2 linked regions of the Oryza sativa Japonica Group genome follow. The main gene of each other region encodes a partner of the protein of the gene in region 2 in a complex. Links are inferred from orthologs where the notes say so. Each region holds a gene or a part of one and is shown on either strand. Other genes may lie near its edges.

Evidence for each region. The genes of interacting proteins can lie anywhere in the genome.
Region 1: nucleolar complex-associated protein 3 (region 2) and nucleolar complex protein 2 homolog share a complex: the UniProt entries of both Arabidopsis thaliana proteins name them as parts of the nucleolar complex. The link is inferred for Oryza sativa Japonica Group from reciprocal best matches to the Arabidopsis thaliana genes AT1G79150 and AT2G18220.

What each region holds. Positions count from the first base shown.
Region 1 is NC_089044.1:19,542,489-19,545,404, reverse strand, and holds the end of nucleolar complex protein 2 homolog, read left to right. Parts: coding exon 1-40; intron 41-133; coding exon 134-190; intron 191-365; coding exon 366-692; intron 693-771; coding exon 772-978; intron 979-1,055; coding exon 1,056-1,142; intron 1,143-1,227; coding exon 1,228-1,322; intron 1,323-1,540; coding exon 1,541-1,675; intron 1,676-1,760; coding exon 1,761-2,082; 3' UTR 2,083-2,371; downstream 2,372-2,916. UniProt on the Arabidopsis thaliana protein: Together with SWA2, probably involved in pre-ribosome export from the nucleus to the cytoplasm.
Region 2 is NC_089040.1:18,357,397-18,361,733, forward strand, and holds the end of nucleolar complex-associated protein 3, read left to right. Parts: intron 1-205; coding exon 206-369; intron 370-631; coding exon 632-770; intron 771-985; coding exon 986-1,156; intron 1,157-1,239; coding exon 1,240-1,376; intron 1,377-1,522; coding exon 1,523-1,837; intron 1,838-2,449; coding exon 2,450-2,589; intron 2,590-2,768; coding exon 2,769-2,866; intron 2,867-2,952; coding exon 2,953-3,465; 3' UTR 3,466-3,769; downstream 3,770-4,337. UniProt on the Arabidopsis thaliana protein: May be required for synthesis of 60S ribosomal subunits and the transport of pre-ribosomes from the nucleoplasm to the cytoplasm. Also required for initiation of DNA replication.

The DNA.
Region 1 (2,916 bases), on a different chromosome or scaffold from region 2:
AGTCATCCTAAGGGGAGCTCTTACTGAAAGAGGACCAAAGGTATGTGTAGTTGAACTCTGATGATCATATACTGCAATGTAATTATTTACTTGGCAGCTGACAAGTTTTGTGGTCCCTATTTCATTTTGCAAGACATCGAAGGACAAAAAGCAGAAAGAAAGTATCAAACCAACGAAGAAACGGATGGAGGTATGTCATTATTCCAATGTTGCATATGTACTATCGAGGAATAGAGTCCACTTTGGGATAACACTATTGCTTTCTTTCTTATGTTAGTTTAGTTTTACTCTCTATTCTATATTCTATTACTCTAACTGAGCCTTTCTTTTCTGACTTGTTATTTGCTGACCTTGTTCTTGTGTAGAAATCCTACCAAAAAGTTTATGATTGGCAATACATATTCTGCCTTGAGCTTTGGACAAGTGTTGTGTGTGGATGTAGTTCTGAGGAAGACCTTCGACCTTTGGCTTATCCACTAACCCAGATAATACATGGTGTGGCATGCCTGGTACCAAGTGCGCGTTACTTTCCTGTACGCCTGAGATGTGTGAAGATGCTTAATCGCATTGCTGAAGCTACTGGTACCTTCATTCCGGTGTCTTCCCTGCTGCTTGATATGCTGGAAATGAAAGAACTTGGAGGGAAACCAGATGCTGTAGGCAAAGCAGTGAATCTGTTCAGTGTTAAACAGGTATATTTTCTCGTAATACAACACTTCCTTTGGGAGGACTACTTTGAAAAAACTTTTAATAGGTACTTTTGTCTGGCAGGTAGATAAGAAAACAGTGAAGACACGTGCCTTTCAGGAAGCATGCATCTTTTCCGCGGTTGATGAGTTGGCTAAGCATTTGGCCCAATGGAGCTACTCCATTGCCTTCTTTGAGATGTCCTTTTTAACACTTGTCCGGCTTCAAAACTTTTGCAAAACCGTTAAGGCTGACAGATTCCGGAGAGAGATCAAAGATCTTATCCATCAGGTTTGTGAAGCATGTAAGAGAGAATTGTACCTAACTGAATGCATGTATGCTGATGTTTGTATCCTTTGTGATTCCAGATAAAGGCTAGTGCTGAGTTTGTAAGCTCAAAGCGTGCAGGAATTGGATTCTCTCCTAATGATCCAGCCGTGGATTCATTTCTACAGGTATGGTTGGTCCTGTTGGATGTGCACTGTATATTTGTTATACTCATTTAGTGTCATTTTGTGAGATATATAATGTTCATTTCAGGTTGAGAAGGAAGCAAAGTCAAGTCCTCTATCAAAATATGTTGCTACTCTACATCAGAGAAGTCAGGACAGGATGGACTCTCTGGACGACACAAGGTTGGTTACTTGGTTTCATTGATGTTCATCTAAATTTAGGAGTCAGCCAGTTGAGTCGTAGCACTTATAAACAGAAATGCACCAATTTTTTTTTACCTCGTCGTCTTATCATGCAACATTTTCTAGTAGTCTTTACATGTGAGTGGAGCTATGCTTGATGCTCCATATTGCGAGTACATATAATTAATAAAATTACTGATCATTCTTTTCCCTATCAGCGTTATTGTGGGGGCAGAGTCCTCAACCTTTTCACGGAGGTTGTCAGAAGCACAGAAGCGACAGGATGAACAAGATGATGGCGAAGACACCATTGCATTCAGTAAGAACTTGTTGACTGAAAAGAAGAAAACCAAGTACGCTATCACCTTCCTCTTTGCCTCTTTTTGTTTCTTTTATTGGAATGGTAGACGTTATATGTTTCCTTTCGGGGGTTTGCAGAACTCCAAAGGAGAAGAGCAAGAAGCGAGCCCATAATCACGACGATGTCGCTACGGAGGAGGATATTGTTGAGGATTTGATCTTGAGTTCAGACGAGGAAGACGAAGATGAGGACAAGAATATGGAATCAGATGAGGATGATGGCTCTATGCCTGTTGAAGATGACAGCGATGACGATTTCGTCGACCCAGACAGCCAGTGGAAGAAACAGAAGAAAGAGAAATCAAAGAAACGGAACAAGCGGCAACCCTCAAAGAAGGGTTCGTCAACAACAAAAAGAAAAGAGAAAATCCCACATCCCAAGAAGAAGGCGAAGCATTAGCCAGAGATAATGAAAACGATGATGATGTGTTTTCAATTTTGAAAGAAACAGACGCATCATGAAAATTTTGTTTTAATTGAGAAAGACCTCTGCCATTTCGTTGCGTTCCTTCACCGTTATTATTTATTTATGTATGCTTAATCGTTCAGCTTGGCTGATGTTGTTGATTTTGCTCCATACATTTTTCTTTCTGGCAGATTGTGTGCTGAGTTAAACAAGTGATAATTTCCTTGGGGAAAAAAAAGAGAACGCGAAAATAGTATTGAACAGGCTACAACCTTTGTAAGACATGAAATCAGTCTTAACTAGTGCGAATCATGGGGATATTCCACTACTTTGCACGGCTTAAATTATTGTCCATGAATCGGTGGACCTGTGATTTTCAGTTCTGATTGTAAACTGGTACTAGCATATGAAGCTACATTTGACCAAGCCATGAGAAAAATTAGGACTAATTCCTTTTTCTAAAACAAAATCTCCACGACTTTAGATCACTGATAATTCAGTAGGGGAGAACAACGAGCCTCATTATTTCAATTTGCTCCGTTGCCAAAGTTATTCACACCATTATATATCAACGCTAACTTAATTAAGAGCTCCCTTGTCTTAACACTAGCCCTTGACATTTGTCTTAACACTAGCCCTTGGCATTTGCAAAGCTCTGTACAATTAACCTAAACCATAAAAATATTTTCAAACCATATAATATTTTCAACTAAACAATACTGCTACCTCCTTTTCATATTATTAGTTGTTTTGACTTTCTTCTAGTCAAACTTTAGGTTCAATCAAGTTTGTAGAAAAATTTAACATCTACAGCACCAAATTAGTTTC
Region 2 (4,337 bases):
TCCCCATATTTTTTGTTTGCCTCCCAACTCCCCATGTAAGAGGATTATTGTCTTGTTGAAAAGGTACACATAATGTGTATAACGTGCATATATCATGCCATGCACTATAGCCGAATGCAGTTACATTTTCCTTGCATTCGGAAGTTAGTTTCAGAAGTTATATTTCTTGGGTTTGATTTTCCTTTGCTCTTCTATGCTTTTTCAGGCATACCTGCAAAAGTTAATCTCCTTGGAGAAGCAACCAAATTTTTCCGCTCTGGCTGTTCGTTGCATGTGTACTTTACTAGATACTGCTCCACATTTCAACTTCCGTGAAAGTATACTTGCCAGCGTGGCAAGAAATTTAAGTTCTCCAGATGATGCAGTGAGGTTGACTACGTAACCTGTATTAATTTATATCAAAATCATTGTTTCCTGTTAGATGTTGATTTAGCTGTGCAACTGATTTCCTTGAATAATGTCTTGTGTAGTTTGATTTGTGGATCATCTGTTTTTTATTTATTTAATTTTTGATCATCTGATGGTCTAAATTGTCTACTTAAAATGATGGGAAACACTGGGTTACCTTTTTAGCCAACTGTTCCATTTAATGTTGTCCTCACATTCTTGCATTTCCCCCAATTCTTTGTAGGAAAATGTGTTGTGAAACGATAAGGTCTCTATTTGTAGATGAAGGAAAGCATCGTGGTGAGGCAACTGTTGAAGCTGTGAGATTGATTGCTGATCATGTGAAGCTAAACGATTGCCAGCTTCATCCTGATAGCATTGAGGTATGTGCCAATATTTGTATTTATTACATGTGATATGTGGTTATTATTTGTCTTGTCGCATCTTCACCATGCAATTAATATGTTAATGGACTTACTTCACCAGCTTGGGCCCTATGGGCAGCAGCTCATTCCTAGCTGCTGACCACTGCCCCATTTCATCCAACATAGCTGAAAATCAACTCCATGTGCTAATCGTGGCCACTTTTTTCTGTAAGGTCTTCCTATCTTTGAGATTTGATGATGATCTTGGAAAAGATGACACAGAGGAAGAAAAGGGAAAACCAAAGAAGAACAAACGACGACAAAACCAGGAAGTCCCAAAGCAATTGCCAGTGAGTGATAATAAGAAAGCCAAACAGGAATTGATCTCAAAGGCTAGAGAAGAGGTAACATTTGTTGCATAATTTGATAGGTATAGCTCAAACTGTATAAGAAATTCACTTATTTATTATTATTACTATTTTTGCAGGTTGATGCTGAACTTAGATCTGTTTCCTTTACTCTTGATCCAAAGGAAAGGAGAAGGATACAGAAAGAAGCACTCTCTGCTCTTTTTGAGACTTACTTTCGGATTTTGAAGCATAGCATGAGTATTTCAAATTCCAGGTATGTGCACTTTAATGTTGTCACACTAGTTTTTGCCATAACAATTTCATTACTGGCATTGTACCATTCGAGTTTATCCAATATGATAAACTTTCACTTACTTTGGAATAAAGTTACTATGCTGACAGTCATTATATCATCATCAGGGGCAAGGTCATTAATGTCTCCCCAGATGGCTCACACCCACTACTTGCTCCATGTTTGGAGGGTTTAGGAAAATTCTCACACTTAATTGATTTGGATTTCATGGGTGAACTTGTCGCGTGCCTCAAGAAGCTTTCTGGGTATACCGACCATCACTCTGGCACAGTACATGACAATACACTGTCTGTATCAGAACGTCTGCAGTGCTGCATAGTTGCATTTAAAGTCTGGAGGAGCAACCTTGAAGCTCTGAATGTAGACCTGCAAGACTTCTTTGTGCAGCTTTTTAACCTCATTCTGGAGTATCGGCCTGACAGGTTTGAATTCTATTTATTTTGGTGCTGGTGATGGGGAAGAAATATATATACTCTTGTCCTTTCTAAAACACAGATTCATGGATAGGTAGCATCATAGCAAATTTTTCTTCCGTTATTTTTTGCTTACATTACTTATTGTTGGTCAGTGTTTCACCATTGAAATGCTTATTATTACTCATAAATAACTACTCCCTCCGTTTCACAATGTAAGTCATTCTAGCATTTCCCACATTCATATTGATGTTCAATGCTAGAATGACTTACATTGTGAAACGGAGGAAGTAGTTATGTACAGCTATACCACATAACCATGCTGATTACTGACAATGCATTTTATCATGTACTCCAATGCCGATTATAATGTATAATAGAAGAACATTATACAGTCTTGCATATGGTAAGCACCATTTTATTAATGTGGAGGCAGCAGTGACCAACATGTTTAATTCATGGCTTATGGCGGTCCACTTTGTGTCTTCCATCAACAATACACTTTCAGAATGTTTTCGTGTTGTCATTTTTTGGTAAATCGAATGGTGGTTATGTCTAAGATAGCTGTTGCAAAGTTTTCAAGTAACTTAAGAACACAACCTGATTTCTGTCTCTATCCAGAGATCGTGGTGAGGTATTAGCTGATGCTCTGAAGACACTTCTCTGGGAAGGCAAACAGCAGGATATGATAAGAGCAGCTGCTTTCATTAAACGCCTAGCAACCTTTGCTTTGTCCTTTGGTTCTGCAGAAGCCATGGCAGGTTTGTGTTTGTTTTGCCTTGCACTTTCCCAGTCTTTCTACCTTGATTGTAGTCCAAATATTAGATCCATTGGGGTACGTTTGTTTTTCCTTCCTGGACAGTACATAATATGTATTAAGTACAAACATCTGTTTCATTTCCTTTGACATAATTGCTGACATATTTGAACAATATTTCAGCATTAATCACACTGAAGCATCTTCTTCAAAAGAATAGCAAGTGCAGAAACATGTTGGAAAATGATTCTGGTGGTGGCTCCCTGTCTTGCTTAGTTGCGGTATTTGTCTACCCTTGTGTTGTGCAATTCATCAACATCAATTACAGCTTGTGTTTACCTAATAATGCTACCTTTCATTTGTGCAGAAATATGACCCAGAAGCTAAAGATCCTTATCTGAGTGGGGCACTTGCCTCAGTCCTATGGGAGCTTAGCCTTCTGCAGAAGCATTACGATTCCTCTGTTTCCTCAATGGCCTCAAATATCTTGAGCATGGCCAATTTGAATCCTACACAGAATCCTGTTCCAATTTCAAATGCAAGCCCTCTAGAAGCATATAGAGACTTGTCAATGGAACGGAAATTGTCTAAACCAGCGAATAAATTGTTGCCACTAAACTGCAGAAAGAAGAGGCGTGGTAAGGAGTTTGTTGCCCTAAGCCCTGCAGCGCTCGAGGGATCAGATTGCGTTGCGGGTGGAGATGAACTCAAAGAGAAGTTAAAAAATCATTTTGCGGTACTAAGAGGTATCTCAGAGAATGAGAGATTGAGAGCTGAGCTGAACCACACGTTGTCATCCATCAACTTGTACAAGGAATACAAGAAGCAGAAGAAAAGCAGGAAATCAAAGGCTGTTAAGAAAAAGGTTTCAAGGGCTTAAGTTGTGCTGCGTTTGGGGGAAATTTTTGCACACCAGGGACCAAAGGTGTGCAGAATGAACAATTTTGCCATACCCACTTTGTAGCTTATCGTAGCTTTTGGGTGTAACACATTTGCAGTTCCAAGCATTTCTTTTTAAGCTCGTTCTATTTCCTGACATGTCCTTTTATTCTTGTTGCCTGGACCTAACCAGGCTAACAAGTTTGCTGCCGCTGTACAAGATATAACAGTGGCATGCTTGTGTTATCTATATATATTGTTATGCATGAACAATGCCATCCCCTATGCAAAACTACAGATTGGTAGTCGCAAGGTGTAGGGTGCTCGCGCAGAAAGGGGGAAAAATAGTAGGTTTTACTGTCCACTAGCAAAATATCCATGTTTTGCTATGTTAAAGTACACATTTATTTGAATATATGTTTTTCATATTTAAACATATATTAGACTATTGCATAATGGAGGACATACTGGGAACTAATTTATAAAACATGCGAATGCAGGTAGCATAACTATCACTGTTATCTTTTATTGAGGTATATAGATTTGTATCATTATTCACCTAACATCTCAATTGACATATATTTATAATTAGGGACGCAAACGACTCGGAAACGGATTAAGCAAACACCTAACCACACTAAGGCTGTGTTTCTATAGTTCTACTCCCTTCGTCCAAAAAAGTTTAATGAACATAGATAAGAGTATGTCCAGATTCGTTGTACTAGAAAACTTTATCTAATACTAGGTTGAGTATTTTTGGGACGGAGGGAGTATTTTTGGGACGGAGGGAGTAGTTCTGTTGAGGACATCCCAGTTATGACTATACCAAGTTCAACTACTGCTACACGTGATCAAGTAATGGAAGGACTGATT